Saccharomyces cerevisiae S288C: one gene and its partners. The protein of the gene in region 3 binds, or shares a complex with, the protein of the main gene of each other region. Each region holds a gene or a part of one and is shown on either strand. Other genes may lie near its edges. A codon is read from its position in the direction of its gene.

The links. The genes of interacting proteins can lie anywhere in the genome.
Region 1: YNG2 (region 3) and EAF1 share a complex: the UniProt entries of both Saccharomyces cerevisiae proteins name them as parts of the nuA4 histone acetyltransferase complex.
Region 2: the proteins of YNG2 (region 3) and EAF6 are in contact, whole or in part, in a crystal structure (PDB 5J9T), measured with the Saccharomyces cerevisiae proteins. Residues at the interface, in NP_011958.1 of Saccharomyces cerevisiae: Ile11 (codon at 5,685), Val14 (codon at 5,676), Leu17 (codon at 5,667), Pro18 (codon at 5,664), Phe21 (codon at 5,655), Arg22 (codon at 5,652), Leu25 (codon at 5,643), Ile28 (codon at 5,634), Gly29 (codon at 5,631), Asp32 (codon at 5,622), Leu33 (codon at 5,619), Ile36 (codon at 5,610), Lys40 (codon at 5,598); in NP_012615.3 of Saccharomyces cerevisiae: Ile69 (codon at 1,551), Ile70 (codon at 1,548), Gly72 (codon at 1,542), Phe73 (codon at 1,539), Asp74 (codon at 1,536), Asp92 (codon at 1,482), Ile94 (codon at 1,476), Phe95 (codon at 1,473), Leu97 (codon at 1,467), Ser98 (codon at 1,464), Ser99 (codon at 1,461), Ala100 (codon at 1,458), Thr101 (codon at 1,455), Lys104 (codon at 1,446).

Annotation. Positions count from the first base shown.
Region 1 is NC_001136.10:1,190,523-1,196,757, forward strand, and holds EAF1 (Eaf1p), read right to left. Parts: upstream 4,363-6,235; coding exon 1,414-4,362; downstream 1-1,413. Other genes in the region: GGA1 (ubiquitin-binding protein), read left to right, coding at 1-1,210; protein-transporting protein BCP1, read right to left, coding at 4,890-5,741; transcription factor TFIIIC subunit TFC6, read right to left, coding at 6,157-6,235. UniProt on the Saccharomyces cerevisiae protein: Component of the NuA4 histone acetyltransferase complex which is involved in transcriptional activation of selected genes principally by acetylation of nucleosomal histone H4 and H2A. The NuA4 complex is also involved in DNA repair.
Region 2 is NC_001142.9:580,501-584,105, forward strand, and holds EAF6 (Eaf6p), read right to left. Parts: upstream 1,756-3,605; coding exon 1,414-1,755; downstream 1-1,413. Other genes in the region: YJR079W (uncharacterized protein), read left to right, coding at 553-739; AIM24 (Aim24p), read right to left, coding at 1-1,116; ACF4 (Acf4p), read right to left, coding at 2,108-3,037; YJR084W (uncharacterized protein), read left to right, coding at 3,233-3,605. UniProt on the Saccharomyces cerevisiae protein: Component of the NuA4 histone acetyltransferase complex which is involved in transcriptional activation of selected genes principally by acetylation of nucleosomal histone H4 and H2A. The NuA4 complex is also involved in DNA repair.
Region 3 is NC_001140.6:278,911-286,285, forward strand, and holds YNG2 (histone acetyltransferase YNG2), read right to left. Parts: upstream 5,716-7,375; coding exon 4,867-5,715; downstream 1-4,866. Other genes in the region: NAM8 (Nam8p), read left to right, coding at 1-814; YHR086W-A (uncharacterized protein), read left to right, coding at 1,321-1,482; RTC3 (Rtc3p), read left to right, coding at 1,910-2,245; rRNA-binding ribosome biosynthesis protein RPF1, read left to right, coding at 2,585-3,472; H/ACA snoRNP pseudouridylase subunit GAR1, read right to left, coding at 3,771-4,388; arginine--tRNA ligase MSR1, read right to left, coding at 5,929-7,375. UniProt on the Saccharomyces cerevisiae protein: Component of the NuA4 histone acetyltransferase complex which is involved in transcriptional activation of selected genes principally by acetylation of nucleosomal histone H4 and H2A. The NuA4 complex is also involved in DNA repair.

The sequences.
Region 1 (6,235 bases), on a different chromosome or scaffold from region 3:
ATTACTGAAATACAAGGGTTATACTTTCCCAAAAGTTGGGAGTGAAAACTTGGCGGTGTTGAGACCGAATGACCAACTGAGGACACCTAGTGAGCTACAGGAAGAACAGGAAAGAGCTCAAGCTGCAAAACTAGAAGAGCTGCTAAGAAGCGGCAAGCCCGATGATTTGAAAGAAGCTAATAAACTGATGAAAATTATGGCGGGATTTAAGGATGACACTAAAGTAGCAGTCAAACAAGCAATTAACAATGAACTAAATAAACTCAAAAGAAAAGCTGATTTATTCAACGAAATGTTGACTTCAGCCGATGAGCCTGATCTTGAAAATGAAGCTATTCAAGAATTGTATGGCGACTTAAAATCAGCGCAGCCGAAATTCAAAAAGCTTATTGAGGAAGAACGCGATGACGATGCGCTTGTTAGTAATCTATCAAAATTTAACGATCTAGTGATCCAATTGTTAAAAAGGTACAAGTCAATAAAAGGTATGAAGGAAGAAGAACTAAATGTCCCCGATACGAATGAACCGGCAAAAGAGCTTAATTTGATAGATTTTGATGACGATACAACAGCAAACACTCCATCTGTGACATCTCCAAGCAAATCTTTGCAACCTTTTGACGATCTTTTAGGGGATTTTAATAAGGTAAGTTTATCATCCCCAAAGTCTCCTCAAGAAAACGACACTGTTGTTGATATACTTGGTGACGCTCACTCAAAGTCATCTGGTATAGATTTATTAGATTTTGATTCGCAACCTGGAGAAAGTAAAACCGCTCTGTCCGCATATTCTAACTCGATTGTTCTACCTAATGGTTTACTAAATAGTTCAAGTAACTCCAAGGAAATCACAGCTCAATCGCAAAGACATATACTTAACCAATCGGATCACTTACGCATTGATTACGAATTAACTCGTGAGTCGATGACAAAACTACGATTAGTTATCTTCTATTCAAACATAAGCAGTGATCCAATAACTAATTTTGCACTTTTAGTGGCATCACCTAAAGGCACGACATTGTCTCTGCAACCGCAATCGGGCAATATGCTCCAAAGTAACTCCAGAGATGGTATCAAACAGATTGCTTCCGTAGAGGGTATATCTGTTAATTTAGGTAAGCCCATAAAATTGAAATGGAAGGCTAATTACTGCACCAAGGGTGATTCGAAGGAAGAATCGGGCACGACCAGTTTGCCCACAATATAATCAAATTCGGTAGAGAAGTTGAAAAAAAAGTAGATGCCATATTATATTACAGAGAACAGAGTGTTACGCCAACATACTAAACCAGAGAAGTAAAACGTTTTACTTATATATAATAGTATTCGTAAATTTATAAAAATCAAAAAACCAATATAAGCCTGGTTAAAAAAAAAAAAAGATCAGTATCGTAAAGTCGTAAAGTTAGGTCATTGTTTTTGGAACCTTTGTAAAATCTCCTGTGGAGTTGGTGACTTTATCCTTGGAGCAGAATTAATGTTAGAAATATTGGAAAGAGAAGATTGAGATGGAGATGATTTCGGTGGCGGAGCTTGAGACCCTGGTTGTAGTTGCTGCAGTTGCTGCACATGACTGGACTCCTCCTGTAACTGCTGCCTTTGCTGTTGAATCTGGTGCTGCTTTAGCTGTTGCTGTTGTTCTCTCAAGGTTCTATAATAGTTTTTTGCCGCCTTAAGGGCCATCTCAGGACCAATGTCTGGTTTTTGCTCCAACAACTTCCTCGAGTAACTTTCAATGATATCTTGCTCAGTATACTGTTTCTGGTTTGGTCTTGGAGCCGACGCTTGCCCATTTCTAGCCAAATTTGAAGAAGATTTGCCATTTGAAGGTATTGGACTTTGAGCTCGGGATGAATGTGCCTGCTGACTTTGCTGTTGCCTCTGTTGTAATCTATTTTTCACTGTTCTTCTCAATTGTATATCCCTTCTCAATGCCTCATCTCTTTGGGCTTTCAAAAGCGACATTTCTGCTGGGGTAGGGACCTTCATGTTTTTACAATCTAACGGTTTCCTTGGCTGGGTTGGATTGGGACGCGGCGTATTTTCTCTTTTTTTCATACATTTTCTAATCGCCTCAAACATGCTCGCCCAACGGAGTCTCCTATGACCTCTTTGTATGGATTCTGTATTTACACCTAAAGGCGATATTCTTCTATTCTGTCTCTGCTGAAATTTATGGGCTTCAATCAACCACTGTTGAGCACTATGTGCTCTGGGACCCTTGAGGTCACTAAAATTGAATCGTTCATTTAATTGTACAAAACGCTCAAAACACTGCCATGGCGTTCTACGTTCAATATTCGATAAATAAGAATATGTGAGGCGATGTGTCATATGTGCACTAATCAATTCCCAATTGTAGCCATATGTGTTAATATTTTTGACCAGTTCCTGATCGTCCTCAGACAGCCATATAGTCGGTGTTCTATTTTGAAGATAGCGTAATGAAGGTACTGCTGGTGGTCTTAAATAATGATTTCTTCTATTACCATAGAACATACCCCGCCTTTTGCTCAATTGTGATATTGATGGTTCTTCGTCAATCAATTGACGCTCAAGTAACTTATAAAATCCATTATCATCCAGTGACACTACCGATTTGGAAATTGGAATAAATGGTAAAGAATCATCTTTTTTTGGCCGTTCTTCATTAATACCATTATACAGCGGTAAATCCTGTATTAATGTTTTTTCAAAAGTATTGAGTTCGTCAACAAAGATTGAAAGTTTAAATGGGGGGGCTAGCTCTTTCTTTGATTCTTCGGTTTCGATCAACGCTGATGATGCAGCTACTTCATGTTGTATTAAAACAACTTCGCTTGAGGAGGATGGCTTTTTTAGAAGTAACTTGGTGTCAATAGAAGATATAATTTGATCGTGGGCACCTTCTTGAGATAACAAACCATCTGCAAAATCAAAATCACTCTTAGCTCCTGCTTCATTCTTTCCATTCTCATCATTATCGTTAGCAGCAGCACTTTCTTTTTCAGTAATATCGTCAACGTTCGCAATAATTCCAATGTCATCCTTACCGGCTATGCTAATATCGGAATCATTTCTTGAAGTATCCGATGGTCTACCGGACTTTTCAGATATGCGCCCGTCGTCAGATAATTTATTTTCCTTACCAGGTAGAAGTGTTTTACGTTTTACACAGCATATTTCCCCATAGGTCCAGTAGTCCTTGATTGCCTGTGCCATTGCTGTGCAGATAGCTACTTTATATTTGTGGCCCTCTTTAAAATCTGCTTGCATCCATTTAGCTTCTTCTAAAAGTATGTTTTGATGCGTATTGTGTTGTTTCCACGGATCGATGAATCTTTTAGGTTGTCTTAAAGACCATAATCCAAGTCTTCTTAGTTCTTCTATTCGCGAGCCAACAACAGTAATTCTGGCCTCGTTTAAGGCGTTGTTTATAATATTAGTGGTCAAAGCCTTGTGAGCTCTCGGTATTAGATTAATAAGAGGCAGAGTTTGTGACATGTACTTCAATTCTGCTAAGGGCAAAGCCTGGGGTATTTTCGATGGTATATAATCGTTCATTAATAAAAATACGGTCTCTAATGCGTCAACATTGTTCTCGTTATAATGGTCTGATGTATCTATCTCTTTCGCCATAATGTTCTTTATCAACGGATCCTTGAATTTTACTGCAGGTTGCACCTCAGTGGGATCTGCTGGTGGGTACTCGATGTTCTCATAATAAGTGTAGTGTGCTAATGCATTAGGCACTGGGGGACGCGGCGAAATAGGTAATGAAGCCATTTCCGAATTATTAGAAGATTCCAATGACTGAGATTGCATCTTCTGTCTTTTTTCATGTCGCTCTTCTTCACCTCCCATAGTTGACTCAAGTGGCCTTTTGTTCCACATACCTCCTGTCTTTTCAGCTGGCCTCAAAGAATCCATCATATTTTCACGGATTGAATTATCGTGGCTTGGAACAAAATGACTCTCTGATTTGACTGATACATTTTCGCTATTTTCTGGCAGTTCCCTACTCATTTTAGAATCGGATAGCCTCTGGTTAGGTACATTTATTAAATTTACATCCTTCAATTTCTTTTTTGTTATGGGAGTCGCAGCTGTATGTAGGAGCTTCGGCAGTGACGCCTCGTCAAACCTTATACCCCTTCGTATATCGTTTTTCTTTAAAAATGCATCTATTTCCTTCCGAAGTTTGTTTTCATCTGTTAACTCTAGCAGCTGGTTCAAGCGGGATACGCAGTATAGTTCGGTCAGTTTTCTATCTCTTTCATCAATTAAGTCATCTGCCTTAGGAAATTTACTTCTATCACTGCTCTGGTCCTCACTGAGTGATGCTGAATTAGGCACTGCTGAACTTGGACGTGAGGACATCTTTGAGGCGGAAACTGTACTTTTGATTATGATGTCTCTAAATAATCTTTATATTCTATCTGTTCGGCGGCTAACGCCTACGGGTAATAGCCGGCCTTTGAAAATTTCGCGGCTGCAGCAAGTACGCAAAAATCCTTATCCCTTCTAACGGTTCGAAAGGGGGAAGAACCAGAAATTTTGTAGTTACGCCGCAAATACCTGTATGCCCCGGCTCAAAATGCTCAACACTTATATGCTGACTATGTTCTATAAGGCTCAGGGTGAATGACCTTTCTTGAATTACAATCTGATTTCACTTTGCACAATATATACTATGTATTTTTATTGGAGCACACGACATTAAAAAGATGATCGCCCAGAAAAATTTTCAGCGGTGGCGGATTAATTTTTACTGTCCTCGGCAGCCCAAAATTATCCGTGTAGGATGACATAAAGGCTCAATGGCCGCTGCTGCTTCGTCTGTTAATAATATACAAATTGCACTAACTGTGCAGGGCAGTGATCGCAACTATTTACTTTTCGTAAAATTACCAAGTGGAAATTTCTGTTTCCAATTCATCGATACTTTTGACAAGGCCTTCGTGATCAAGAATCATGTATGAGCTGATAACACCCTTTTTAGCTTCTGATTCGAAGTGAATCTTGGCATATTTTTCAAAAAATCGGTCCTCCTCATGAAAGTAGTCTACTTCATCGGCCTTCACCCTTTTTTTGGATCTTTCGTCTTTGTTTTTATTCCTCTTACCAGAGTCGGTATCATCGTCAGTGTCAAAATTTACTTCATACTTCCTGGTGACGATGATATAGAAGTCATAATGTTTGTCATCGCCAAGTGCCGTGGCAACATCCTCCAACGTAATCTTGTATAAAGGTGGAACGACTTCCGGTGGCATATTAATCAGCCTTTCACTGAGAACCAAAGCACAATTTTTATTACCACTATCAATCATAGTTTTGAAGAAAGTGGAAAGTCTCATGTCCACTTTTTGTAAATATTTGACATAATCACTTAGATGATTAGCTTTGAAATCAACGAATGAAAGAAAACAGTATGGATCAGATTCTTTGCCGTCTGTTTTAATTGTGGTGGTTGGGGAACCTAGGATCAAATCTGCCAAGCTGCTTAGTTGAATCCTGGTACTTTCTTGAGGACCAAATAACTGACGCAGTAAATTCTTTAAAGCATGAAAATCAACTTCTGGGTTACCACCGAAAAAATCGAAGTCAATATTTACGATCTCTTCTTCTCCATTTTGCTCTTCTTCATTTTCTGAATCGGTGCTACTAATGTCAATTTCAGACTCGTCACTGCCATTTTCTTCCTCCACATTTTTTCTCTTCCTATTTTTTAAATCATTTAATTTGATAGCTTGAACCATATTTGTGAGTTAATTAGCAATCCTATGAAAATGTGGGCCTCATGAACAATCTAAATGATAAAATTATAAGGACATAATAGATAATATATTGACAACTCTTTTTCAGATATTTTTTCTACCTCAATCTCATCGCGAGGAATATAGGCACGGAAAGAGAAACTCGTATAAAGTGACCACGGATATCGAGAATTTGATAATTTACCCTTAACTGAAGTTATGGCACAATATCTGTATAAATTTTAATACATAATTTGCGGCAGGAATAACTGCAACAATACTCAAAGTTATTAGTGCTAGCCAGGCGATATTTTACATTAGGCTATTTTATTCCTTTTTCATTTCAATAAAAAAAGATAGTTTTTTTCGTCAACAATAGTTCAATGTCACAAATTGTATTTATTACGTAAAGTCCATCTCATGACAGGTATTCGAGTGTTAATAGTCCAGCACTATTAGAAAATGCATAACATTTGCCTCCAGCGCTCGTTTCATTC
Region 2 (3,605 bases), on a different chromosome or scaffold from region 3:
GGGTCTGTTGGCAAGCTCAATGATCTTTGAATTTACATCGTTAGCCACTTGTTTCTCTAAATTGACACCGTTATCATTCACGTTGCTCTTCTTAACGTGGCCCTTGGACGTTAGTTTAGTTAGAATATTATCTTTGGATGTTGTCATTTCATGCGTTTGAATCAATATTGTTCTTGGACCTTTAATCTTCATAAAGTACGAGTCGACACCATAAATGTATCTTTTTTCGTACTGGTTACGGATCCAACTGCGCATTCTTTTGAAAAATTGAACAGTATGTCCGTAAGCAGATTTTAGCGTTTGGTTCTTAATGAATTTAGGTGCCACCGTATCATTACTTGAATCTCCGACGTACGCGCCTTCCACGTGTAACTCTTGTCTCTCCACTGAATTTGCAATATCCAATTGACTTTGGCCGTTGATGGCCAAAATGTTTCTGGAATTAACCAGAATTTTGTCGCTTTCATCAATTAACTCAATTGAATATACCAACCCACCTCCACATACTAACACATTTCCTCTCCCATTCAGAATTTGAAATTTCCGTGGTAGTTGTGATTTTGATGAGTTCGAGACTAAAGACCTTGCAGAGGGAAAGATAGGCGATTTGATTTCCAGACTGGAGTTCTGTTCAAATGCGATAATTGAATCCTTGCCAAATACATTCCAATCCTTTGTCCCGGTCAAATTCAGTACGGACAAGCTTCTTGAAGAATCGAAAGGTCTTCTCGATGTTTGAAAGTTTGGGGCAGCCAGAATTTCTAAAACGGAGGATCCAATAATTCTATGAAACAATGAAGATTTGAATGAACGAAATTTAATCAGGTTTGACCAAAAATTCAGCCATTTATAGGAAAGGGATAAATGGTTCAAATTGTGAATGGAAACTAGGCAATCCTTTTTGATACAAATTGGAATATCTGGTTGAACAGTGATAGATGCAATTTTACCATTTTCGTCTACTAGCCTGAAACGGGAAGTCGCAATATCCTTGCTTAAGTTCTCGATATATGTCCTTTCTTTAGTTACGACATTACTCTCCGTCTTGGCCGCTTGTGGGCTCAAAAGAGAAATTGATCTCTGCCAAACTCGAGTATTCACCCTTGGGCTTATCATGATGGGTGGATATCCTTTTCTGTGCTTCTGTTTTGTTTATCTGTATCCGTTTATTCGCCAGCCAATAAAATGACTGGGAGCACGGGACCTTTGAAATTTTGCCCTTGTTAGTAAATCGTTATAAAAATACTTATATAGATATTTTATAGAAAATGAAAAATAAAAGAAATAGCCAATATGTAGGTATATCGAACTTAAAGGTCACCTGTCGAAATCATTTCCTTCTTCTCTCTTTTTCTTTTCAATCAGATGTTTTAGAGCGGTCAAGCAACGTAAATACCAACGTGTGCTATCGCATTAGTCGTTTTGTGATTGGCCATGCTGCTGCTTCACGTACGTAGCACTACTTAATGAAAAAATACGATCATTGTTATTGAATGCAGAATCTGCATGGCTGTGGTGTGACTTGGAGAAGGTATCAAACCCTTTTATGATGTTACCAGAATAGTGTGATTTTGACCCATGGGCTCCCCCATGACCTGAATGGTTGTTATTACTATTGTGTGAGAAATACTCGGTCTCTTTATCATATATCTCTTGTTGTAAGTTGTCAAAGGTATCTTCTTGCTCTCTTCTATCTTGGAGGGACTTTTTTAGTTCCGCTTTCAATGCTTCATAACTTTTCAGCTCATCAGTCATTTTCTTCTAGGCGTAGGTTGGTAACAAACGGAAAGATGATGGAAAATGGCTGTTCTCTAAAGATGTTTATCTTACGTATATTCTTTGCTTTCGTTGTGGCTTTACACACCTTTAATCATTAATTTAATGGCATAGTCGGCAAGTTGTTGAAGGACCTGGGTTAATCGCCTACATGTGAGGTTTTTTTAAAAATATCAATTACATTTAAAAAAGGAAAGCAGTAGTACCAAAAATCGGGCAAAAAAAATTTACCTAAATAAAGGAATGCATAAATGAAGCCGTTTAATCTTTGTATTTAATGAGAATATTACATATGAAGGTCTCTTGAGAAAGCATCAATAGTGGACATTAGCTACCTTTTAAATAAATGAACGGGTATGTCACCCATGGGTTCAAACTCTTCATCATCCTCGTCTTCACTGCGTACTTCATCGTATTCGTAACCCAAATTTTCTTTTATGTAATAGTGATCTTTCTTACTTTTCCTCTTTTCCAAAAGGTCATCGAATTCGTCCTCTTCCATATTCATTTGATTGAATTTGTTAAGTATTCTTTGTAAGAATGGTGTGTTCTCCCCAGCAGTTGCCGTGGTATTAGCATTCTTCATAGTATTCCTTGGGGGTAGCAAGGGAGGACCCGATGTTGGAGTTGATTCTGAACTACGGCTTGGAGCAATATTTTGCATACGTTGTGACCGATTAGGCGGAGGGTTCGGTTTACGATTGGGTAGAGTGTTATTTATGTTGCTATTAACATTATTATTGGGCTTACTAAAAAAATCGTTTATACTCTTTTTTCCCTTGAGCATATTTGGTGAATTATTTACGTCCACAAATGTCTGTTGAATTCTTTTGGTAAAAGTAGAGAGGTATTCACTTGGGTTCTGGTTACCTAATTTCTGTTGTCCATTTCGGGGCAGTGTATCTTTGAACTGTAACTCTAATTGTTTTAATTCTTTTTGGGCGACCTCTAATTTGAAACTAAGTTCATTGATTTCTCTGTGTTTTGCAGCTAATTTATATATTAAATCTTGGTCTGTTGAAATCGGACTTGCGTGGTCGCTCACGGGTGACTGATTTGTCGTAGATCTTTGCGGACTTGATATAGGTATAGCAAGTCTTTTGGGCTTTAAAGGTGTCGTAACCCTTGGTGATTTTGATTCAGGCTGCACTTCATGTTGTTTTTGATGCGGCTGTTGCTGCTGTCCTTGGGAGTGTTTATCGACAATCGACAGCTTATGTAATTCAATTGGTTGACTAATTACACGCTGGTCTTCTGACATTACTTTAGGGCGTATGTATGGATGTATTTTGTATTGCTTTTGGCTAGTTAGTAGTATTCCTCAATCGTATTGTTTTTGATTTTGAAAAAGCTAACGATAAAGGTCAGGAAAAAAAAAGAAAATTGTATGTAAAGGAATGTCTGGAGAGAGTTACACAGGAACAGAAAGGTCCAGCAACGGTTTCTACAACCAATCATGGATGTTGATATAGGATGTTATTTTGAAGAGAAACGCTATGACGACAAACTGTTAGACTTCATCAGATATGACGTTAAAACACCTAAAAAGACTAAATATATACTACAAAGGCCTACGGCGACAGATGAAGAGAGTGTACGATTACAAAGGTTTTACCAATTAGGAGTAGATCTAAAATTGAAGTATTCCAAGCGGAGGTCATTGAAGAAGCAAGGGCGGATCAAGAATGCTACTGAGGAATTGCTGCGATTAGCCAATGAACAGTTGAAACTTTTCAACAGAATAGTAGAAAGAGAAACCAATTGGATAATTTATCCGCTGTGGGTAATGGCTAAACAATTAATTCGTCTGGCAAACGAATCTAGTGAAC
Region 3 (7,375 bases):
CAACCGTAGTTCTTCGTCACTAAACAACGAAAATGTAGACTCGAGATTTCTTTCCAAGGGTCAATCATTTTTAAGCAATGGAAATAATAACATGGGCTTTAAGAGAAACCATATGTCTCAATTCATTTATCCAGTCCAACAGCAGCCGTCTTTAAACCACTTCACTGATCCGAATAACACCACTGTGTTTATCGGAGGATTGTCATCACTGGTGACTGAAGACGAATTACGTGCTTATTTCCAACCTTTTGGCACGATAGTCTATGTCAAAATTCCGGTAGGCAAATGTTGCGGGTTTGTCCAGTATGTTGATCGGCTATCGGCTGAGGCTGCCATTGCTGGGATGCAAGGGTTCCCCATTGCAAATTCAAGAGTTAGACTGTCTTGGGGCAGGTCTGCTAAGCAAACAGCGTTGCTTCAGCAAGCCATGTTAAGTAACTCTTTACAGGTTCAACAACAGCAACCAGGTTTACAGCAACCTAACTACGGATACATTCCATCCAGTACGTGTGAAGCACCTGTTCTGCCAGATAATAATGTTTCATCCACGATGCTTCCTGGATGTCAAATTCTGAATTATTCTAATCCATACGCTAATGCGAATGGATTAGGCTCGAACAATTTCAGTTTCTACAGTAATAATAATGCTACAAATACGCAAGCTACTAGTTTACTGGCTGACACTAGCTCTATGGACCTCTCAGGCACGGGTGGCCAACAAGTTATCATGCAAGGAAGCGAAGCGGTTGTTAACAGCACTAATGCAATGTTAAACCGTTTGGAACAAGGCAGTAATGGTTTTATGTTTGCTTGAGCCACACGTGTATATAAAAATGTTTGTTTTCCTTTTGGCCCTTTTTCTTTCTTGGTATTTTCTTTACTTCAGTGTTAAATTGTATTTGGTCTTAGGCTGACGGTGATATAACAGCGCTTTATTTTCTTTTTTTCATTGCTTTTTATCGTTTTCAAGATTCCATGTCCTTTTATTAAGTCTTTTTTGTATCGTTATAGTTGCGTTTTTCCTTTTGATTTTCATTTCTTTCAAGGTTATTGTTATTCTTAATTCAATTCAAGATTGTACGCTTTTAAGCATGTTTATGATTTTCCTTTATTACTTCCATTTACCTTCTTTCCATCACTACTCATTACGGCCTGTCAATTCCTTTTTTGCGTCACCTTCATTTTTTCTTCTCTGTTCTTTTCTGTATTTGTCGAAAATTTTATATTGATGTATCTTAATTTTATTTTTAGTATTATTATACTGTAAATGTTTCTTACTGTGTCAAGATTTCCCGTTGCGCTATCTTCCAAGACTACGTAATGCGTTTGTCTCTCTATTCATGTTGTCTCTGTATAGGGGCACGGCGAATTCCTACTCCGTGTCTCTTCTCCTATATCTTTACACCAAATTTGGCCCATTTTCATTCCCCTTTACGTAGTAGCGGTTTTCGGCCTGCCGGTGCTACGCGTTTCTATAGCTAGTTTCGTTTTCTCACAAATAAATCCTAGCAGGAGGAAAAGAAAGCGCAGGTTGAAACTCCGTTCAGAAGAAGAAAGCCACTCTTTGAAAATACTGCCCACGCAATTGTCCCTTTCTGACAATAAGACCCCTTACTACTAGTAAATGTTTTTATTCTCTAAGCTTCTTTTCCTCTAACTTCGACGCTAGAGCAGGCACTACCCTGTTGGGCCGTACGTAACAACAACGACCCCTTATTTAGTCGAAGGGATCGCCAGAAACAGGGAGCAAAAGATATTTAAGTGATGAGAATCAATTTCGATGATGATCACAAGCCAATGTTCTTTAAACTCAATTCTTGACTAATAAAAAAGCAGCTATCAACAAATTCATACTTTGAACAAGCTGATAAAAATAAGAAAACCATCGCATACACAAAATAAAATCAACATGTCTACTGTAACCAAATACTTTTACAAGGGTGAAAATACAGATTTGATTGTCTTCGCTGCATCCGAAGAGCTTGTAGACGAATATTTGAAAAATCCATCAATTGGTAAGCTATCTGAAGTTGTCGAACTCTTCGAAGTTTTCACTCCTCAGGACGGTAGGGGTGCCGAGGGTGAGTTGGGCGCTGCCTCCAAGGCCCAAGTGGAAAATGAGTTCGGTAAGGGCAAGAAGATCGAAGAAGTTATCGATTTGATATTGAGAAATGGTAAGCCAAACTCTACCACCTCTAGTCTCAAAACCAAAGGGGGTAACGCCGGAACCAAAGCCTACAATTGAGTAGCTTTTCCTTCTGTCTGGACAGCCTGCATTGAAATATGCAATAAGTTAAATTGGCGTGCTGCCCTGTCATAACGCATGCATTCTTCTTTTACAGTAGTAGAAAGAACAAAAAGGTGTATATTTCAATATACATATTTACGATCTATATAACGTTGTATACATTTAATTCAGTGCATTTTTCATTTTCGCGTTCGTCACACATGATTATTTATACAAAGGAAAAGTAAAATTTTTAGCGATGAGATGTAAAAAGAAATGCGATGCCATAAGCTATACTTTACGATTGAACACCTAAGGAAGAGGTAAAGCAGGCTTAATATATTGAAATACTAAAAAATGGCTCTCGGTAATGAGATAAACATCACAAACAAGCTAAAGAGGCAAGAAATTTTTGCTGATATAAAACATGAAAAAAATAAAGAGCGCCATACCATGAGAAGAAAGAGAGCTAAGGAAGAGAGAGAGAATCCGGAGCTGCGGGAGCAGAGATTAAAAGAGAACGTAACACAGACGATAGAGAACACTAGAGTGTACGATGAGACCATTAACAAGGAAGTGGAGGGAGATGAAGACGATTTGATGAGATACTTCAACAGCAATTCTAATGAGCCACCAAAGATCTTTCTGACCACAAATGTAAACGCTAAGAAGAGCGCTTATGAATTTGCTAACATTTTAATCGAAATTTTACCAAACGTCACATTTGTGAAAAGAAAATTTGGCTACAAATTGAAGGAAATATCTGATATTTGTATAAAAAGGAATTTCACTGACATCGTGATAATCAACGAGGACAAGAAAAAGGTTACTGGCCTAACATTCATACATCTGCCAGAGGGCCCAACTTTTTATTTTAAATTATCATCATTTGTTGAAGTGAAGAAAATTGTCGGTCATGGTAGACCAACTAGCCATATTCCAGAATTGATTCTAAATAATTTCCAGACCAGATTGGGTCAAACAGTAGGTAGGTTGTTTCAGTCCATTTTACCTCAGAATCCTGATATTGAAGGTCGACAAGTTATCACCCTACATAATCAAAGAGATTACATTTTCTTCAGAAGGCATCGGTATGTCTTCAAAGATAATGAAAGGGTTGGTTTGCAAGAACTGGGTCCACAATTTACCCTCAAGTTGAAAAGATTGCAAAGGGGTATTAAGGAAGAAACTGAATGGGAGCATAAACCTGAGATGGACAAAGAAAAGAAAAAGTTTTATTTATAGTGTTCCATTCGTAAACTTTGTATGGATATAATATTAAGACAACCGTAAGAACCGTGGTCGTTTGTTTAACTACGGCGGCTTCTGGTATTACTGAATTTCTCTTTTTTTCATTTTAAATCAATTTATTACAGGTAAATCAATCAAACAAATATATATATATATAGTATACAGAACAAACGGTAATTTCTTTTTTTTTTTTTCGACGTTAGACGTGCTTCGGCAGATATAGTAAGTTGGAAGAAATGAAGAATTGTGAAAGATAAAGGATGGTTTTTTTTTTTATTTTTTTCTAGCTAGATTATCTTCTACCTCCTCTGAAACCACCACGAGATCCGCCACGAGATCCTCCTCTAAATGATCCGCCACGAGATCCACCTCTGAAAGAACTGCCACCACGGCCTCCTCTGAAAGAACTACCACCACGGCCTCCTCTGAAACCTCCTCTGCTACCACCGCGACCCATTGAAGCACCACCACGGCCACCTGGGGCACCACTTCTCTTCTTCTTGTTTTTTGGTTTTGGTGGGCCTACCACCTTAGGCTTAGGTAAAAATCTTTCAATAGGCAATAGTTTGTCAGCGGCAATGTAGAATTTATCACCTTCTTTAAAACTGGTTGCTTGGACACCGTCACCACACTTGATAGTGAAAAATACTTCGTTTAATGGACCCAATATTTCGTCAACTTTACCGACTTGAGTCTTGTTTTCCAAATATATTGGCGCATTGAAATATGGAATCTTAGTGTTGATAGAACGGCAAACAATATCACCCTCACATGGATGTAGAAAAGCTCCCATTTCTAGAACAGTGTCTGGTGGTCCTTGTTGAAATGATCTAGCACTGCCTGTACGTCCACCACGAAAGCCGCCACGGAAGCCGCCACGGCCACCTCTATTACCTCCTCTGAAACTCATTATTTTCTTTTGGTTAAAAATTATCCTCAGGTGATCTTTTGGTAGAAGAGAGCAATCAGATACTCTATCGAAAAGGTGCTCACGTTATAAGGCTAACAAATTAATTTTTTCTTCCTTTCCTCATCTCGAAAAATTTTTCACTACAAAAAATTCCGACGTCAAAGTTTGAAAAAAAGACCATCTGATCACGTGACACCTTTTTCCTGCTCATAAGTTTTAAAAACCGTATGACACATATGCTAATGAAATTAAAATATATAGTATATACCTGAATATGCAGGAATCATATCTTAGTTTGATTCACAAGTATTTGAAAGTACATTCAAAAATGTCAATCGTATATGTCCTTGCTAGCTGATGTCTCGAAATTACTTCTCCTTTTCGAAAAGCACATTGTCAGAATAGCAATCACCGTTTCTGGCTTATGGAATATTATTAGTGTAAATGAGGTCATTCAGTCTCAAAAAGGTATTTTTGTTCAGTTACGTTTTCTTTTCAGTTTGTTTTTTTCCATCTCAATTTTACATTCGGGACAGTACCATGTTCCTTTCGGAGGTTCTTTTAAATTTACACAATCATAATGAAACCATTCATATTTACAGTTGGGTCCATCACATGCAACCATTTCTCCAAACGAAACTCTTTGACAGAAGCAGTATAAAGTTTTGTCCTCTTCCTCGTTTTCAGGGGAACCGTTTTGGCCTTTACCATTTCTACTGTTTTTGAATTCTTTTGTTCTTGCAATCTTCTTTTCAATGCTTGGGCTCACTGGAGTAACAGACTTTTCTCTTGAAGAAACGTCAATTTCATTTTGCAGTTTAGATGTTCGACTAGTTTTTTTCTTTTTCAAAGTGGGTGGAACGGATCCTGAGCTTGATGCAGCTCTTCTCTTTTTCACGCTACTGTTACTCACAACTGAACTTTCTCTAGAGGCTTCAGCAGCGCTATCCATGTCTCCATCTTCTTCCACGGGGGCTAGAACACCATCTTCCTCCAATAAAGCGATGTTTTTTTCCAACTTATTCAAGTGTCTAGCAATTAGAAACAAGGCAGTGTTCGCCAGAACGCATTTTTCTCTTTGCAAAGACTGACATTTCAAAAGTGATTCTTTTATTTCTTTGTCAAGCCCATCTTCCTGTGGATGTTTCGGTATTGAGCCTTGCTGTCTTATAAATTTGTGTATTTGTGATTCTTTTTGCTCGTATTTCTTTTTTTCTTCGATGAGCTTCAAATCATTTGAACCGATCTCCTCTAAGAGGTAACGAAATTCTGATGGGAGGTTGGACACATCTTGTATCGTTTGCTCTAAAACTAAACTTGGATCCATCTTCTATTGGTTATGTTGTCCAATATAAACTTGCATATCCTTCTTCTTTGTTTCTATTTCAACTAACGGTAGGTGGGTTATTCAAGAATCAATTAAAGGAAAATCGGAAAATATCACGTTGTACGTAACAATAAACTTTCTTCTATTTACATGTTTATAAATTGGTTAAACTTAATCTAAATTAATCTAGCATTTGCTAGCTTATTCATATAATTACATTCTATCAACCGGGACTAGTCCCAAAAGCGACATTGCATTGTGTAACACTTGTCTACTTGCTGAATATACGGCGAGTCGCGGTATGGCAATATCTGCAGGTTTTCCGGAAACCCATATTTTTTTATAGCACGAGGAGACCTGATGGCAAACTTTGAATAAATATGTTACAATCGTGGCCGGCTCTTGAGTTTCGAATGCTCGTCTAAGGACATCTGGATACTGCGCTAGCAACCTCACAAGCTCAACTAGTTGTGGTTCATTTAAATTTGAAAAATCTGCGTGTATTAGCATGTCCGTCGTAAAGTCGCTGGAGGTCCTTTCTAAAGATCTAAGTCTGGAATGTGTGTATTGTAAATAGGGCCCTGTGTCACCTTCGAAAGACAACATTCTGTTCCAGTTGAATTCATAGTTATTGATACGCTTTGATTTCATATCTTGAATAATGATAGCAGATACGCCAATTAAATCTGCAACACGCTGTGGATTATCTACCTGAGATATTTTCATTTTGTTATTTTCCATAATTTGCAGAGCTTTATCCCTTGCCTCGTCTAGTATGGTATCTAAGAATACCACATTTCCTTTTCTGGTCGACATGCCCTGCACCATACCAAAATTTATATGCTGCAAGTCTTTTGCCCATTCAAAATTCATTTTTTTTAATATCATAAAAAACTGGGACATGTATAAATCTTGCTGTGAGGAAATCACGTACACCATTTTATCAAAATGTAGATTCTTTTTACGCTCTATGGCTGCCCCTACATCTCTTGTCAAGTACAAAGTTGTTCCGTCTGATTTTTGTACAACAACTCTGCCCAATCTTTTCGACCATTGGGTTAAATCGATGACAAGGGCACCGTCTATTTCTTTAACAAGATTGTTTTTGCGAAATATATCTAAGGCTTCATTCATAGATTCTTTAGACACTTGTGATTCACCGGAGAATATATCAAAATTAATGTTCAAACGTGAATAAGTTTGGATATAGTGGTGGATGGATAACGAGCGAAACCTATTCCATATCTTAATGGCATTCTCATCCCCATTTTCTAAGTTTTTGAAAAAACTACGGGCCTCACCGCTAATCCCACACTTAGAGTTTCCGTTTATCTCTTCCTTGGCAAGGTCCATGTTGATTTTAACGTAGACGTCGAATAAATGCTGAATTGGCTGCTTTTGTAACGTCTTTTCATCGCCGTATCTCTTAAAACCGACTGCTAACAAACCAAACTGTCTGCCCCAGTCTCCTAGGTAGTTCATACGTGTAACGGACCACCCCATTGCTTCATATAAGTTTGAAAGGAATCCACCTATTATAGTCGATCTTAAATGGCCTGCATGGAATGGTTTGGCAATATTTGGTGATGAAAATTCTACTACAACTTTTTTCTGATGACGAGATTTTTTCTGACCATATTTCCCCTTTTGAAGTAATATA